3 linked regions of the Callithrix jacchus genome follow. The protein of the gene in region 1 purifies or fractionates together with the protein of each later gene. This does not show direct contact. Links are inferred from orthologs where the notes say so. Each region holds a gene or a part of one and is shown in the gene's direction. Other genes may lie near its edges. The genes, in order: DLAT, DLD and PDHA1.

What was found.
Region 2: the proteins of DLAT (region 1) and DLD purify together in Homo sapiens (affinity purification with mass spectrometry; 4 studies listed by BioGRID and IntAct, counting the BioPlex papers as one, with this or other methods). This does not show direct contact. The link is inferred for Callithrix jacchus from reciprocal best matches to the Homo sapiens genes DLAT and DLD.
Region 3: the proteins of DLAT (region 1) and PDHA1 fractionate together in Homo sapiens (co-fractionation; 3 studies listed by BioGRID). This does not show direct contact. The link is inferred for Callithrix jacchus from reciprocal best matches to the Homo sapiens genes DLAT and PDHA1.

Annotation. Positions count from the first base shown.
Region 1 is NC_133511.1:11,730,761-11,737,612, forward strand, and holds the start of DLAT (dihydrolipoyllysine-residue acetyltransferase component of pyruvate dehydrogenase complex, mitochondrial), read left to right. Parts: upstream 1-2,931; 5' UTR 2,932-2,996; coding exon 2,997-3,275; intron 3,276-3,720; coding exon 3,721-3,822; intron 3,823-4,376; coding exon 4,377-4,501; intron 4,502-4,658; coding exon 4,659-4,812; intron 4,813-6,759; coding exon 6,760-6,852.
Region 2 is NC_133512.1:78,372,003-78,377,067, forward strand, and holds the end of DLD (dihydrolipoyl dehydrogenase, mitochondrial), read left to right. Parts: intron 1-418; coding exon 419-589; intron 590-908; coding exon 909-1,098; intron 1,099-1,564; coding exon 1,565-1,702; intron 1,703-2,656; coding exon 2,657-2,746; intron 2,747-2,840; coding exon 2,841-2,906; 3' UTR 2,907-3,608; downstream 3,609-5,065. UniProt on the Homo sapiens protein: Lipoamide dehydrogenase is a component of the glycine cleavage system as well as an E3 component of three alpha-ketoacid dehydrogenase complexes (pyruvate-, alpha-ketoglutarate-, and branched-chain amino acid-dehydrogenase complex).
Region 3 is NC_133524.1:19,829,939-19,835,702, forward strand, and holds the end of PDHA1 (pyruvate dehydrogenase E1 component subunit alpha, somatic form, mitochondrial), read left to right. Parts: intron 1-1,125; coding exon 1,126-1,193; intron 1,194-2,366; coding exon 2,367-2,475; intron 2,476-2,969; coding exon 2,970-3,134; 3' UTR 3,135-3,685; downstream 3,686-5,764. Other genes in the region: MAP3K15 (mitogen-activated protein kinase kinase kinase 15), read right to left, coding at 4,195-4,279, 4,756-4,832, 4,909-5,009. UniProt on the Homo sapiens protein: The pyruvate dehydrogenase complex catalyzes the overall conversion of pyruvate to acetyl-CoA and CO(2), and thereby links the glycolytic pathway to the tricarboxylic cycle.

The DNA of each region.
Region 1 (6,852 bases):
GAAATCAAGCAGCCACAGGAGGCCTAAGGTGTAAAGACCACTGGGGAGCGCAGTAACACCAGGGAACACTGAGGGGTGGTTGCAGAGCAGGGAATACTGCTCTGGTCCCACAAATGCCTTCTCAACATGGCGACTGCATGAGGGTCTCCTAAAGAGGGCTTGTGCAAAGATCTCTGAGAAGGGAGGCGACCTCTGCTCACAAGATCTGGGAGGGTCTTTGCAGATGGGAGCTGGCCAGGAGGAGAAACGCCTTGCAAGGCCAGGCGCGGTGGAAGGCGGAGATCACGGAAAGCCTCAGCCTCTGCCTAGGTTCTCCGAATATGGAGTGATTTTAATTGTTCTATGTCTTCAATGCTTGGGAGATAAAAGCCCCTTGAAGTATTGGGTGTGGTCAGACTGGGTGGCTCCTCCTCTGCTATACTTCTGCTGCAGCAGCACCCTGATAACAATAAGTGATAAACTCAGAGTACTAGTTTAGCATGTTTTAGACAGATCTCAAGTGCTTTTAAATGCTTAGACAGTAGTTTAGCATGTCTTAGAAGGATCTCAAGTGCAAGTGCTCCCCTGCCCCATCTTACCTACCCCTTCACCCTCCCCTTCCATGCCCATTACTTCAATGAGATTATGCACAAAATAAAAGGGTTTGGAGCCCAGAGCTCGGGGCCAACACAGTTCCCACACTTGCGTTGGTCCCCTGGACGCATGCTGCAAATTCTAGCCTTGTGTCTCTGTCTTTATTTCCTTTTCTCAATCCCTCCTCACTGCCAGGACTAAGGGCATCTACATACGGGGTTGGGGCTGGTACCCAGCAGTGGCACGTGCCTGTAATCCCAGCTACTCAGGAGGCTGAGACAGGAGAATCTCTTGAACCCGGGAGCCTGGGTGACAGAGTCAGATTCTGTCTCCAAAATAATAATAATAATTTATAAGCCCTTTTACTAATTACAATTATTCTTCCATTGCTTCTTCCAATTGTTAATTCATAAGCTGTATATAATTGTAACAATATAATTGCCCTCCTCTTCATATTATTTCAAATATGCCTTTTCATTTAATCTGGAAATTTTATATTTCTCAATTATATTGCCTACATATCATTCGATTAGGCAGTTGTACCTGCTTAATAAACATTTCCAATTTAAGTAGGCATAAAACAGTATATCCGATCTGTTTTTACTTTTCCAAATTAATTGTTAGCAAGATTAACCACCCCCAACACACACCATTTTTTAAGAGACAGATTCTTTCTGTGTTGCCCAGGCTGGTCTCAAACTCTTGGGCTCAAGTGATTCCCCCACCTCAGCCTCTCAGGTATTTATTGCTGGGAACTACAGGCACGCACCATCGCTCCTGGCTAACATCTTGTTTTAATGTTTTTCCCTCCAATTTCTTCTTGTGTTCTTGGTGTTGTCTAACTGTGTGTACACTGGGGAGGTGGTGATACAAACACAGCACATGCTTCCTCCTTATCTAATGTCACCTTAATTGATACGTTTTCTTTTATTTTTTTTTTGAGACAGAGTTTCACCCTTCTTACCCAGGCTGGAGTGCAATGGGGCGACCTCGGCTCACTGCAACCTCTGCCTCCTGGGTTCAGGCAATTCTCCTGCCTCAGCCTCCTGAGTAGCTGGGATATAGGCACATGCCACCGTGCCTAGCTAATTTTTTGTATTTTTAGTAGAGACAGGGTTTCACCATGTCGACCACGATGGTCTCGATCTCCTGACCTCGTGATCCACCCGCCTCGGCCTCCCAAAGTGCTGGGATTACAGGCGTGAGCCACCGCGACCGGCCTAATTGATATGTTTTCTTTCTTTCTTTCTTTTTTAAAGACGGGGTTTCACCGTGTTGGTCAGACTGGTCTCGAACTCCCCACCTCAGGTGATCTGCCCGCCTTGGCCTCCGAAGTGCTTGGATTACAGGCGTGAGCCACTACGCCCAGCCAATTGATATGTTTTCTAATTAAAAGCTAACCTTACAAGAGAAGCAAACCTAACAAAATGTCTGGATGACTTTCTGTTCATTAATTCAAAAGCTATACATTCAGCCACCGCTAATTACTGTATACTAAGCTCTGGGGCTACAGGGAAGAACCACCTCCACACACTTCCTGCCTTCAACGGCTTCCAGTTAAGTTTTGGTAGGAAACATATGAAACGTAACGCTTTTGGTTACGTAATAGAATTCTATGGTATTAGGGGTAACAGAAACATGTTCTGTAACCTATATTTTCATAAAGGGAATATGCTTAATCTTGCTACAGTATACACGAATGCGGGAATCTGTCTTTTCTGGGCTGCCTTTCGTACCACTTGGCTGGAACACCTGTTCATTTCACTTCAAGTTGGGTACAAACCTGAAACGAAATCTTTGTAACCCAGTACAGCCTGCGCCCGGTGGGGCCCAGTCCGTCCTCATGACGATGCGCGGAAGTAGAGGTCACCAGGCTGCACCTCTCGATTCCCCCGCAGGCGGTTCCTCGCTCCTTCACCACCCCAGGGCTCCAAGATCCCCGCCCTTTGGCCTGAGGCTCCCACTGCCCAGCCAGTTCCCTGTTCACTCCCGGCTTTTCCTCGAAGCTGGGCCACGCCCCTCGGCCCAGACTCTCCGGCCACTCGGCCGCGGTGATCCCGCGTCTTTGCCACTGTTGAGACCTCTCCCTCTCGGTCGTACCCTTCCCGTCTCCTGGGCCCCGCCGGATGCCTCCCCTAGGACCCCACCACTTTCCGTCTGTTATTTCTCCCAAACTTGCGCCCGCACAGGCCCTGCTGGAACACCCCTGCCCCGGGGGGGGGGTGCCCCTTGTACCCACTCCAGAGAGGAAGGGCGTGGGTGCGGCGCATTTCTGGCCTGGGGAGGGGGTGGAATAAACCTGCGGGGCCCATTTTACGACACCGTGCGGCTGTGCGGCGTGGCTGACGGCAACGCCGTGCAAGTCTTGGAGAGGTCACTTCGGAGACGGCGTTGGTTTTGGGGTGTGGGGGGTTGGTGGCACTATGTGGCGCGTCTGTGCGCGACCCGCCCAGAATGTAGCCCCATGGACGGGACTCGGGGCTCGGTGGACGGCCTTGCGGAAGGGACCCGGATCTCCACGAGTGACCTCGCGATCTGGCCTGGCTCCGGCTCGTCGCAACAGCGTGACAGCAGGGTATGGCGGGGTCCGGACACTGTGTGGCTGGACCCCCAGCTCTGGGGCCACGCCGCGGAACCGCTTACTGCTGCAGCTTTTGGGGTCGCCCGGCCGCCGCTGTTACAGTCTTCCCCCGCATCAGAAGGTGAGCCCTCGACCGGTCCTTCTCGGGACGACCCGTCCTTCAGAGCCGACTGGATGGCTGCACGATCCTCCTTGAGGGGCCTCATTGATCCTCCAGCCATTCCCAGTATCTGCTTTCGCCCTTTGTCCAATTCAGCTTTGCTGTGTAGCTCCTTAGCTTCCCTCTCATGGTCTATTCCATTGAAAGGAGAGCTTCAAGACTGGGGCAGTATGCAAAATACCTGCCGAGGTTCATGCCTTGTCAGACCCAAAGGACTGTGGAGGAGAAAGCCTGTCATTGGAAAGTATTCACTTCTCGTGGGCAGCAAATTTTTTTGGATCCTTAGTTCCTAGTGTGTAATGGAACTGGATAAACTCGTTGCATGAAATTGAATTAAATGAAATCTTAAGCCAGACAGAGGGTTAGGTAGCCCTTTAAAAATTTAATGTTTCTTTTTTTCTTCCAGGTTCCATTGCCTTCTCTTTCCCCGACAATGCAGGCAGGCACCATAGCCCGTTGGGAAAAAAAAGAGGGGGACAAAATCAATGAAGGTGACCTAATTGCAGAGGTAAGTTGTTTTAAAATAAAGGAGATGAGTTTGAAGAGACTGGCTTTGCTGAATTGACTGAACATTGACTTTCTGGATGTGTGGTTACCCCTTTGCTTAAGAAACTTGTGTTTTTCACAGCTTGATGTTAGACAAGATTGGTTAGATGAGTTATCAGCAACTGGCCAAACTGATGTTTAGCCAAGGTGTTTCCAAAGTAATTCCTTCTTTGAAATCTGTCCTAGTGCCTTATCTTCACATGAACTGTGTGATTCTAGACACAAAGGCCAGGCTGACCAATATGGTGAAACTCCTGTCTCTGCTAAAAATACGAAAAATAGCCAGTCCTGGCGGCCTGTGCCTGTGGTCCCAGCTACTCCTCTGGAGGCTGAGGCAGGAGAATGGCTTGAACCAGGGAGCCCTGCGGGGAGGTTGCAGTGAGCCGAGATTGCGCCACTGCACTCCAGCCTCGGTGACAGAGTGAGACTCTGTCTAAAAAAGAAAAATTCTAGACACAAGCAAATAAAGTACATACCAACAGTACCAACTTAAGCTGCCGCTTTTTGTGTTAAAAGGTTGAAACTGATAAAGCCACTGTTGGATTTGAGAGCCTGGAGGAGTGTTACATGGCAAAGATACTTGTTGCTGAAGGTACCAGGGATGTTCCCATTGGAGCCATCATCTGTATCACAGTTGGCAAGTGAGTAGTACCCTCATAATTTGTGAAACTTCATTGCTTGGTGGAGTATTTTAACCCAGAATTGAGAATTAGGAGTTAAAGACTTTTTTTTAAAGACTATTTTGTGAGGGCTGAATCTGCCTGTTTATTATATTTATGTATTCTTTCTCTTTCTTAGGCCTGAGGATATTGAGGCCTTTAAAAATTATACGTTGGATTCCTCGGCAGCAGCTACCCCACAGGTGGCCCCAGCACCAACCCCTGCTGCCACTGCTTCACCACCTGCACCCTCTGCTCAGGCTCCTGGTAGCTCATATCCCGCTCACATGCAGGTGAGGCTCAGTCTCTGAGTGTTTGCTGTAGATGATTTATTACTTACTTTTTTTCGTAGATGGCTACTACATCTTGGAAACTGACATTTAATGTGGCTAATGCTTGTCATTTGGGAGTTTACAGAGATTTAAACATGAAAATTGACAATTTTTCTTCCTGGTTGTTATTTCCAGGTATAAGAACTTGAACAGTTCCTGTAACCTTTCTCAGCCTCAGTGTAGTACACAGGGTAGTGCGTGGCACTTTTCATTCAAGAACACCACATTATAGATTTTGAGGATGATTTTTACTCATATCTACTCCCTGTGTAATTAGAGTTTATAGTAGGCTGTGTTTGTTTTATACTGGCATAAATATCTGGGGCTGGGTAATTTATAAAGAAAAAAAGTGGCCAGGCGTGGTGGCTCACGCCTGTAATCCAAGCACTTTGGAGGCCAAGGCGGGCGGATCACCTGAGGTCGGGAGTTCAAGACCAGCCTGACCAACATGGTGAAACCCCGTTTTTAAAATAAAAAAAAAGAAAGAAAAAACATTTATTTGGCTCATGGTTCTGCAGGCTGTACAAGAAGTATGGCACCAGCATCTGTTTCTCTTGTGGCCTCAGGAAGCTTACAATCACAGGGGAAGGGGAAGCTGGTGTGTCACATAATGAGAGAGGCAGCAAGAGACAGAGGGGAGTGGGTATCAGGCTCTTTATAACAATCAGATTTCCCCTTAACTCATAACTGTGAGGCATACACCAAGCCATTCATGAAGGATCCTCCTCCAATACCCCGACACCTCCCGCCAGACCCCATCTCTAACATTGGGGATCATATTTCTTTTTTTGGGGTGTGTTCTTTTGACATGTGGTGATCTGTTTTCCAAGAGTAAGTGAAGTAGTACGATAGTATTAACAAATGAGAAAACTGACAAAAATAAGTGGCTAAAAATCCAGCCATCCTTTTCTAAATAATTCTGACTTGAATTTTTCCATAATCTAGTTTATTTGTAGAAATTTTTGTATAGAAATCACTTCTTTGGAAATAATGTTCTACTCTGTGGTCTGTTAGTAACAATAAGTTAGGATTTTTGCCAGGTATTCAGTTCCCACATGTATTACATGCTGTTCATCAAATTCTATCTCATGATATGAGACTGACTTAATTCTTCTCTATTTTATGTCTGTAGCTTTGTGTGCATGTGTTCGGGCTTTACCTTGATTATCCTTTAAGATATTATATAGAAATCATTGGCTTTACTGTTCGTTAAGAAGCAGATCAAGATGGCAAATTCTGAACAAAAAAAGCACTTAAAATTTTTTTTCTAAGGCTTGTCTTTTTTTTCCCCCCTCTAGAAACATCTTCAATTGAAATTATTTTCCTCTTAGCATAATGCCGTTGCTAATCGGATACAAAAGACAAAGGGGATAGCAAATGAAATCCGTAATAACTAAATAACCAAATTCCGTGGACACACAAGCCATATAAATAGTAAAGCAATTTTAAATTTAGATAGGCATTCTGATGTTTGAATTTTATTGGGGTGGAAATGACTATTTTAAAAACAGGGCTTTTTTTCCTCATTTAAAAAAATTTTTTTGAGACGGGCTCTTACTCCATCGCCCTAGGCTGGAGCGTGCAGTGGCATGATTTCAGCCCACTGCAACCTCTGCCTCCTGGGTTCAAGGGATTCTCCTGCCTCAGCCTCCCCAGTAGCTGGGAATACAGGCGCACACAACCATGCCCAGCTAATTTTGTGTTTTTAGTAGAGATGGGGTTTCGCCATGTTTGCCAGGCTGATCTTGAACTCCTGCTGGGAAGCTATTGAGGTGCTAAGCTTTTGCTGTGACGAGTATTTGGATTATCATAGTCACCATTATTCTGTGAAACTATATAAGCCTGCCTGACTGTTACTGTGTACAAGTCTTCTTAGTATTAAGCAGTAATACGTGTTTGTTTCTATAGGTACTTCTTCCTGCCCTCTCTCCCACCATGACCATGGGCACAGTTCAGAGATGGGAAAAAAAAGTGGGTGAGAAGCTAAGTGAAGGAGACTTA
Region 2 (5,065 bases), on another chromosome or scaffold:
ATACATGGGGAAATCAATAATAAAAGATTGCTTACTATATGTCTGGCACTCTACTGATTAAATACTTTAATGGTATTTAACCTAATAAATTAGTTTTTAAATAAATACTTAAATAGTTAATAGTATTTAAATAGTTTAATTATTAACTTGCTTAATATCACACAGCTAGTGGGTGGCAGTCAGTACTTAAATGTGGATTTTTGTGACTCAAAGACCTATATTCTTAACTGCTGTTTTGTTAGTCTGTGATTTTTGTGAGATTTTATGATAGCTCTCTTTCATTATCTGACTCTTCGATTTACAGTCAAATAAACTTAATTGTTAAAAATGTCATCAATGCTTGAGAAATTTCTGATCTTAAATTTTTATCAATTTATGTAGGTGTGTATTTAACATTTATATACTGTTTGTTATCTAGTATTGAAGCTGCTTCTGGTGGTAAAGCTGAAGTTATCACTTGTGATGTACTCTTAGTTTGCATTGGTCGACGACCCTTTACTAAGAATTTGGGACTAGAAGAGCTGGGAATTGAACTAGATCCCAGAGGTAGAATTCCAGTCAATACCAGATTCCAATCTAAAATTCCAAAGTAAGTTGGACAGTTGTCTGCGTTTTCAGTAATTTTAAAATTGATTTCAAACAGTGTTTCGAAAAGTAAGACTTGTATGCTTAAAATATGTCTTGGCTTTGGGGAAGAATAGTAAACTTACAAAATGTAAAATCAAAAAATAATTGAAGTTTTCCTCAAAGATGAGAAGGTGAATTCATAGATTTTTGAAGAGTTGCATTTGATTTATCTTTTGGTGACTTATTTACTGGAAACTTTTACTTTTGTTACCATGATGTAACTGAAGATAAGTAGCTGTGATTTCAGAAATTCATTTTGTTTCTTTTGATTTCTGTGGTAGTATCTATGCTATTGGTGATGTAGTTGCTGGTCCAATGCTGGCTCACAAAGCAGAGGATGAAGGCATTATCTGTGTTGAAGGAATGGCTGGTGGTGCTGTGCACATTGACTACAATTGTGTGCCATCAGTGATTTATACACACCCTGAAGTTGCTTGGGTTGGCAAATCAGAAGAGCAGTTGAAAGAAGAGGTAACTCTGAACGTGGGTGGTTTTACCCTAGTGTGTGAGTTGTGCCAGTGACAATGGTGGTTGAGAAACAGCATCTTATTACATTAATATATTTCACAGCTGTGAAATATCATTGTTTAGCTTATATGTTTTTCCCTTGTTAGCATTATAAAGAGATTGTTCACAGATTTTTCAGCAGTAATTGAGAGGAGGAGAAGTTGCCTGTATTAAAAAACTAGTAATTCCAAATCTTTTATATTTGGCTTTGAAATATAACCAGATGGACAGACATTTGTATTGGCTTGCATTTGTGCCCAAGATATAGTTCATTAACTATATCTTCATTAACAAGACCTTTGGGTCTTGTATGTACTTTGTGTACAGTTGCCTTCTTGGGATTTATTTCTGATCAAATGGTAGATGATTTTACAAATTGGAATGAACTCTTCCAGCACTTACGTAGATTCTTTTTTTATGTCTCTCACAGGGTATTGAGTACAAAGTTGGGAAATTCCCATTTGCTGCTAACAGCAGAGCTAAGACAAATGCTGACACAGATGGCATGGTGAAGATCCTTGGGCAGAAATCGACCGACAGAGTACTGGGAGCACATATTCTTGGACCAGTGAGTATCGTAAAACCAGAGAAATCCATAAGATTTCTAGAAAGCATTGCTGTTTATTAATTGTAAACCACCTGTTGTTATTTGGAGGTTACTCATTTCCAGCAAAACTTTTGAATATGGCCTCTCTGTGTATCATTTCTAGAAGGATACCAGCAGCACTCTCACAGTCTTGCCCACTGTATCATCTGGTTTCTATACTGGAGCCAAGATTCTGTCTTTAAAATATACACCGGATTATGCCCCTAAAATCCTCCAGTGGTGCTTTTCAACTTCAGATTGTTACATACAGCGCCTCACTGAATCTGTTTGTGCCTACATTTCTGACCTCTTCTCTTTCTCCTCTCCTTTGCTGATTAATTCTGTGTGACATGGACCTTCTCTCATTTTCACAAGAGGCCAAATGTTTGAATTTTAGGGCCTTTGTGCTTGAGGTACCCTCTGCTTAGACTGTTGTGGCTCCACATCTTTGAATTGCTGGCTCCTTATTGTTTAGGTCTCATCTCAAATGTTACCTCCTAAGGGAAACCTTTCCTACCACTGAGGCTAAAGTATGTTATCTTTCTTGTAGATATCTCCTGTATCTGATATAACAATAAGGAGAATAGAATATTTGAGTGCTCACTGTGTCACTTTAGTATACATTTTGTTATTTTTACAACAGCTTTGTGAGATACATGCTGTTATTTTTGAGGTGAAGAAACTGAAGGAAGCACACAGAACCAGTGAATGGGTAAAGTAGTAAATGGTAGATACGAATCGAAAACCATTTGGCTCCAAAGCCCAGGTTCTTCTGTGTCACCTTTTCTGTTGTTTTTTCTGACTTTCTTTCAGCTGATACAGAAACAGATTTAAGGCGATTTTCAGATCTAAAAGCTTCCTCTCTTAACCATTGCTATCCTATTAGCATGTAGTTTTTGTCATGGAAGCAAATTTACTTGGCTTGTTATTTTAAAGGGTGCTGGAGAAATGGTAAATGAAGCTGCTCTTGCTTTGGAATATGGAGCATCCTGTGAAGATATAGCTAGAGTCTGTCATGCACATCCGGTAATTATTAACAACATAAAGAATTGATGGTTGCCTGAATTTTCTTCTAACCCACAAATACTTGGTTTTTAATTCTAAATTTCTTCCCTTGCAGACCTTATCAGAAGCTTTTAGAGAAGCAAATCTTGCTGCGTCATTTGGCAAATCAATCAACTTTTGAATTAGAAGATTATATATATTTTTTCTGAAATTTTCTGGGAGCTTTTGTAGAAGTCACATTCCTGGACAGGATATGCACACAGCTCCAAGAATTTCTAGGACTGAATTATGAAACTTTTGGAAGGTATTTAATAGGTTTGGACAGATGGAATACTCATATCTATATTTTACATATATTTAGTATTTTGTTTCAGTGCACTCATATGTAAGACAAAAAGCTACTTACTGTACCTGGAATATCTCCGTCAACTCCTATTTTCATGCTGTTCATGAAAGATTCAATGCCACTGAATTTAAGTAGTTTTTTTTTCTCTGATATAGAAAAGTTGAATTTTACACAGATGGAGCTAGAATTTGATCTTTGAACAGTTGTGTTTGAAGCAAAGTGATCAAGATATTTTTAATTTGGTTTTCATATTGGAAACAAGTCAGTCATTCAAACAAGATTCAGCTGTCTATAAACCAAATAATGTAAGTCAAAAAGGGTCTCTCACTTATTTAACCCCTAAATTCTTGCAGTTAAGGGGTAGAATTTATGTGTTTAAGAGGTTTTTAAGATTCCATTGTTGTCTATAACTCTGAAGGGTAATTATATAGTTACCCAAATTAAGAGAGTCTATTTACAGGACTCAAATATTACGTGTGGATTCAAATGTATTACAATGGGGAATGAAGATACTGAAATAAACGTCTTAAATATTCATTTATTGGTTGTTATGAGTACGTGTTGAGATGGTTGTAGTTTTTTTTTCTTTTTATGACTACCTCTAGTGTATGTTCTTATTTCTTTTGTAGGCCTGAATGTATCTTTATTTTCATGTTATGTGACAATATTAAGGTATTTTAAAGTCATTGTCCTTTCATCTATTTTAGAGACACCTAGTAAATGTTTAACATATGCTTTTGGAGAAGTACAACATAAGGGAGTCTTTAATCTGTTTTCCTTGGCTGGGTAAATGACTTTATTTAAAGAGTATTATAAAGTTGCGTCTATGGTGTTTAAAATGGCCATGTCCTGTGAAACTTAAGTAACAGAGTACTAAATGCTAAGTAGGCTTTTGCATATTATAACTAAATTTAAGAATGATATTCATTAAGTAGTTCTGAAATTTAGTATAGATAGCATAGATTGTCTAATGCTCATTATGAGTGGCGTATAGTAAACACCCTGGATTCTGTTACATACTTCTGAAGAAAATTGATTGTTGTCTTAGTAGGCAGTTAATTTGGCTGAACACCACCTCCAAACCCTGTAGGTGGTAGCAGCTGAAATCTCTTCTCAGTTGTTTTAGATTTACCTATGCTGCTGGAAGTCTTTCCGATGCAAGTGTATAGTTCAGTAGTCAACCAGAGGTTGGGCAGAAGAAAGTCTGCCCCTTCTTTTCCCTCTTATTTTTCTGGGGTTTTCCCCTTTATGTTCCAGCTGTTGTGGTCGCCCCATATTCTGTCCTCTGATCCTTATCCAATAAAACTTGGCTTTTGTTTCCCCCTCAAGTCAAAACCTATTAAAAATGAGACTTTGAGCCAGTGCTGTTCACTTTTTAAGTGCCAGCTCCTCTCTGCTTTTCACCTGTTTATAGTTGTTTTCCAGTGCCTTTACAGTTTTTTCTAAAATGTGTTTTGTTCAGAGTTTGCAGTTGCTGTCAGCAGGAGGGTTGGTCCGATATGTGCTACTTCGCCATTACTGGAAGTGAACGCTGCATCTTTTTAAAAATCTGAAATCCCAGTATCGTGTCAAGTGCTAGTTTATTTAAATCTCAACATGTCTCTTACTCAGGGAAAAATAAGTTTCTAGTTAGGGAGTAGTGAAATATAATTTAACATGGAATCCTAGCTCTAGGGACACAAAATAGTTAAATCCATATTTAAGTGTTTACATTCAATATGAGAATGAAATATATTTGGGTGGGGAATGAAGTCCTAAGAATAAAACAAGTTTTAAATGTTTACTTACTGTTGTCTACTAAGCTCTCAATATTTTCGTGGCTTGTGAAGGCAGATTATCCACTTCATTGAACTGATTAAAATTAGTAATTTCAACTGGCATGGAGCAGTGGCTTACTCCTGTAATCCCAGCAGTTTGGAAGGCTAAGGTAGGTGGATCACTTGAGGTCAGGAGTTTGAGACCAGTCTTGCCAATATGGTAAAACCCTGCTTCTA
Region 3 (5,764 bases), on another chromosome or scaffold:
AACACTGGGCTGAGCAGTCTATGTCAGGACTCTAAGGCTGGGAGTGCCAGGCCCTGACAGTGGGTTTTGACCCCACCTCTCCCAATTCTTGAAAAGAATCTGTGGAAGCCAGCCCTGGCTGGAGACATGGTGTTGACTTTCCCAGCCAGATAACCTTCACAATTCTGAGTTAGGTGTTAACTGTTTTGCCCATTTAACAGACAGGGAAATAGCCACAGAGCAGTTAAAGGTACAAGAGCTACTCTACCTTGGAGCCTGGATTGGAACCCAAGCACCTGGACTCTGAGCCAGCTCCCCACTCCCCCATTTTAACTGCTGCACCAAACCAACCAAGGATCCTCAATGCTTCCCCATCCCTCAGTGTTCAGAGCCATCTCCTGGAAGTGGGCTAGTGTCAAATGAGCAGGCCACTTGGTGATACAGAACCCAACTGGGCAGACTCCCAACAGAGCCTCGGGGTTTGGGGAGCAGAGGTTGTTGGTACCTGCCAACTTTGTTACACACTAGCAAGATCTGTGAAGTACAAGTGGCTGCCAGCCCCACAACACACCATGAGAAAGGAGCACAAGATGGAAATCTGCCTAGCCAGTATCAGGAGGCTCTAGCACACACTCGAAGCCTTTTTCTTTTTTGACAGGGTCTTGGGCAGTGGCATATTCACAGCTCACTGTGGCCTTAACTTTCCAGGGTTAGGTGATCTTCCCAAGTAGCTGGGACTACAGGTGCATGCCACCATGCCTGGCTAGTTTTTGTTTTTGTTTTTGTTTTTTTTAAGAGATGGGGTTTTGCTATGTTGTCCAGGATGGTCTTGAAGTCCTGGGCTCAAGTAATCCTCCTGCCTCAGCCTCCCAAAGTGCTGGGATTACAGGCATGAGCCACCATACCTGGCCTTTTTGATCCAAAACAAGCTATTGCCAGATTGCCTTACTAAAAATAAGATGAAATATATCATCAATACATGCTAGAAATGAGAACAAATAATCAGTCAACAAATAAGAAATTCGTGACAACTCAGATCTGATAAAAATACACTGGACACTTAATAAAGGGCCTGTGTTTGAGGCCGTGGATCGTCGGGCTGCTGTTCCCATCATCATTCCTAACTGCCTTCCGGTTCTGTTTTAGGGGCCCATCCTGATGGAACTGCAGACTTATCGTTACCACGGACACAGCATGAGTGATCCTGGAGTCAGGTACACTCATGGGCAATGTGGTTTCCAGAGGTGGTGGGCTTTGAATGGTGTTACATGGCAAAAGGTACACATTTCAGCATTTGCTTTTGCAGCTACATACCAGTTCACTTCCTGTATGCAGTTAGCTTTGTTGGCATCAAGTTATCTGAAGTCTTAGTCTGAAAGCAGTGCCTCCTAAAAACAAAGCTTTCTAAAAATTCCTAGAGTGTGTAGTGTGTGAGCACAAGCAACGATTTTCAAAAGAGCATTGGAAATTGTTACATAAAACAGGGCTGATGGTAGGGTAGTATCTTTGGGGGCATTTAGCTTTTGTAGGTATTACCCCAAGTCCACAGATGGCATACCCCACCTGAAGAGAACGTCTGGCATAGAGCAAGGCTAACTGGGGGTTCAATCTGTTGAAATACATCAATCACTAGGAAGGTATGAATTTTACTTTTTGGCTTAGTAGCTGTGGCATGTAATTCTGGAATCCCAGGTGTGACACAGTTGAATAAAGAAGCCTTCATAGAGTGGACTTCTCAGGGAAAATCATGTGTAGAGTGTAGTATATGGAAAATGTACTTTGTGTAAATCTGTTGTTGAAAGTGGTAGAATCCTTTTATTGATGTAGTGATACTTCAAATGATGTAGGCAAAAATTCTACATCATAGAATTGGAAGACTTGGTATCCAAGGTTTTGCTGACTGTGCTGCTTTAGGGGGACTTACGGGAGAAAGGCAAGGCACATGGATTTCTTACTGGGCGGTCTGATGTCTCAAAGTCTGATTATCAGCACAAACTGTCTCTGCTGTCCCCACCCATGTAGTATGCTTGAGCCCAAATGGGTGGGACAAGAGACACTTCTTTAGACCCTTATGTCTAAATTAAAGCAGCAAGCACAAACTTGGCCCCTGTTGTCAGAATGCCAGAGAAGCCCTAGGACTTACCAGTGTATGGTTTTCTAGAAAAGACAGCAGTTCTTACAGAATGTTAAGCTGGGTTCTGGTGTTTTGAAAGTGTAACTCTGCCACTCCTATGGTGACAGAGGCATTAATGTGCCCCTTTGTTTTAGAAACACACTTCTATATCTCACCTCATTGGGACAGTCCAACCCAATATCCTATTTCTTCATGCTGTCCTTGCTCTCCTGGAGCTGTTCTTACTGATCAATTACTTTTTCCCTCCCCATAGTTACCGTACACGAGAAGAAATTCAGGAAGTAAGAAGCAAGAGTGACCCTATTATGCTTCTCAAGGACAGGATGGTGAACAGCAATCTTGCCAGTGTGGAAGAATTAAAGGTACACTCACTCATTTGTGGAGGTTTGAAGGTTGGCTTTTTTTTTTTTGCACCCCCCCCTTCCCCCCTAAAAAAGTTGCCACCCCTGGGTGGGCACAGACAGAGTTTGTGTGGGTTTCTCTAAGCCCAAAAAGTGATGTGCTGGGGCATAATGAATTCCAAAGTCCCTCAGGGTGGGCTTTCCTTCTAGTTTCCTCTCCTCCAAATTCTATTACTCTAGATTTTGGTGGACTGTGGACCACCTGAGTAAATGCTATCACTAATCACAGTGGCCAAGCCCCCCAAGTAGCATAGTTCTTTTTTTCCTAAGAGATTTTCCTTTGAATTTTTAATTCATAAAAAAGATACACCCTAGAAATCTATATTCCAGAATCTTCCAAGTTAGCAACTGTTAATGCTTGTAGTTAGAAAAGTTACACCAGCAACAGGTCCTCAGTAGAACTCTGGTTGGTACCTAAGCTGCTGTTCATTCAAAAAACCTTTCACACTTTTTAGGAAATTGATGTGGAAGTGAGGAAGGAAATTGAGGATGCTGCCCAGTTTGCCACAGCCGATCCTGAGCCGCCTTTGGAGGAGCTGGGCTACCACATCTACTCCAGTGACCCACCTTTCGAAGTCCGTGGTGCCAATCAGTGGATCAAGTTTAAGTCAGTCAGTTAAGGGGAGCAGAAGGTGAGCCTCTATACCTTCAGGGGCTACTAGACAGTGTTCAGTGTTCTCATCTTGGTTAAGGAGAAAACCCAGTCAGTCAGTCAATGACATGCTTGTAAACGTCCACTTCAGCTAGTAATTGCATGCAGTTTGTACATTGTTGCATTAAAAGATGTTATTGAGTGCTTAGTGTGAATATTATAAAAGATTATTTTTGACTTAGCATATTTGTTCAAAGTATACAACTATTTTAATTATGAAAAGGAAGAACAATTCCTAGTATGCCTGTGCCCCACCACCTTTTTGAGAGGAGACCATTATTGTGGGGCCCCTCACAGGCATACTTATGGTAACAGCCCAGGGCCTCTTGCTGCGTGCAGCAGCCTGTTCACACTGACCATCATTTCTCTTTAAGACACTATTTATTATAATCAGGCAGCAGGACAGGTCCATTTTAAAATAAGACTTTCCTAATCAAAGGCCACATAGTTTTCTGTACTTATACATTCAGTATAATATGAAGCTATTTTCTGTTCATAATAAACATTAAATACAAGGCACATTCGTATCAATGTTGTTTCTCAAATTTAAGTACCATAACAGTTCTGAAGCGAAGCAAGTCCCAGCTTCCATGTTAAACACCCCTTGTTTCACCATTCCAGCAAGTGCTAAAGGATGTACTTTTTTGTTTTTGAGATAGGGTCTCGCTCTGTTGCCCAGGCTGGAGTGCAGTGGTGTGATCAAGGCCCACTGCAGCCTCCACCTCCAGGGCTCAAGCGATCCTCCCACCTCAGCCTCCCAAGCAGCTGGGACCACAGGTGAATTTCCTAATATTCTGGGAGGTCAAAACCAGGGCTCACTGTTCTCACAATACACACAGCTCTATGTTTATAAATAATAGATTTCAAAAGAAACTCAGTATGGACAATATTTAAAACTTTAAGTTCCTGAATAATGGCATTTTTAAAATATGTAAACACGGCAGACTGCATCTATACATTAACAGAAGCTTTAACAAAACATGTAGTGTGGTGGCACACACTGCTCCCAGCTTAGCTGATGATCGGTATCAAGCCTCGTCTTTGGCTTCTGAGGCCTCCTGAGCCCTTCTGTACTGGGAAACCGCGCTCCAGAGCCTGCAGAGGAGACCACCCCTAGGAAACAAACAGCTGTCTTCAGAGTCAGAGCTTCAAGCCAACAGTGCTTAGAAATGCAGCCCCTAACTTACTTAAAAACATTCTCTTCACATATGGAGGAGACACTTGTGTCCCAGCAGTGTTAGGATATGGCCTTAGAGGTATGTACCTGCAGAGCCAGCTATTTCAAATGACGCAGGAACAAGAAGGCAGGCTACAGTTTACAGAAGGGGAGGGGTCCAGCATGTGGGCCCTCAAGCCGTGTGCCTCCCCCACTCCCAGCCAGGCATTAATGGCAGGAGATTGACTGGCCAGCTCCTCTGTCACCTGCCTACTTCTCCTGCGTGGTTTTCAGTTTCTGCCATGCGTTGGCTTTTTCTCAGCTCCGAACTCCAGCGTTTTGAGGGAGGCCCAGCCCTTTGTTTTCTGCTCTTTAAGCATATTCACACATAAAAAGGCGTGTTCTCTTACACAAACTGTTTTGCGGCTCTTACCGTAGTCGAAGGTATCTTAGATCTTCCTTAGTGATCTCATTAAGAATATCAGACAGTGTATAACCCTCTTCAATAATCTGAAATAAAGATCAGATCCATGAGAGCAAGCGGCCGTGTAACAACACCGTAAGAATTTCTTCGTTGTATGTTTACCTTTTCGATTGTCTTTGCATCAGCTCCTTGCAGCTGCAACCAGTCTATAAGCTCTTTATCTGTTCTCTGCCCGTGGAGGGCTGCTGGGCTCTCTGTAATACCTGTACAGTTGGCAATTTGTTACATATTAGTCTAACCATAAAAGTCTTCCAAAGTAACCAGCTGGATGAATAAACGATTCCAGAATGTAAATGCGACGTGAAAAAGAGATGAATTCACCATGCGTCACTCAGCCACTCCAATTCATATTACACAACTCCCAATTCTAAGATTCACTTTCTAGAGAGAAGCCGCTTCATCTAGGATGCCTTCAGTTAATTTGGAACATCACTTGTTAGGTCTACCACTTTAAGTGTTTAGCCCCACATCTTTCAAATGCCTTTCCTTAGGAACCACATCCCTAACTGTGCTGGAAATAGGGTTAAGTGTTGAGGTTTTACGTCAGAGCTTATCTGGTCCACATTCCAAGAGGTAGCTCTGGAGCTCGTTTCTAAGTGGCGCAAAATGAATGTCGGCTGACAGGCATATTTATGTACTTGTGCAGTAAAGCACCCTTTTTAGGTGTCCAGTGTGTTATGAAGGTGGCAGCACGGAGAGAAATGACCATCACTCCCAAAAGCCCTCGTGTCCCCTTTCCTCCCTCTTCTGATTCTGTCCCTGTAGTTTTGCCTTTTCTGGAGGAAAAGAATTCATGGTATGTGGCCTTTTGAATCTTTTTTTTTTTCTTTTTTTGGGACAGTCTGTCACCTAGGCTGGAGTACAGTGGCATAGACCTCGGCTCACTGCAGCCTTGACCATCTGGGTTCAGGTGAGCCTCCCACCTCGGCCTCCTGAGTAGCTAGGACTACCAGGTACA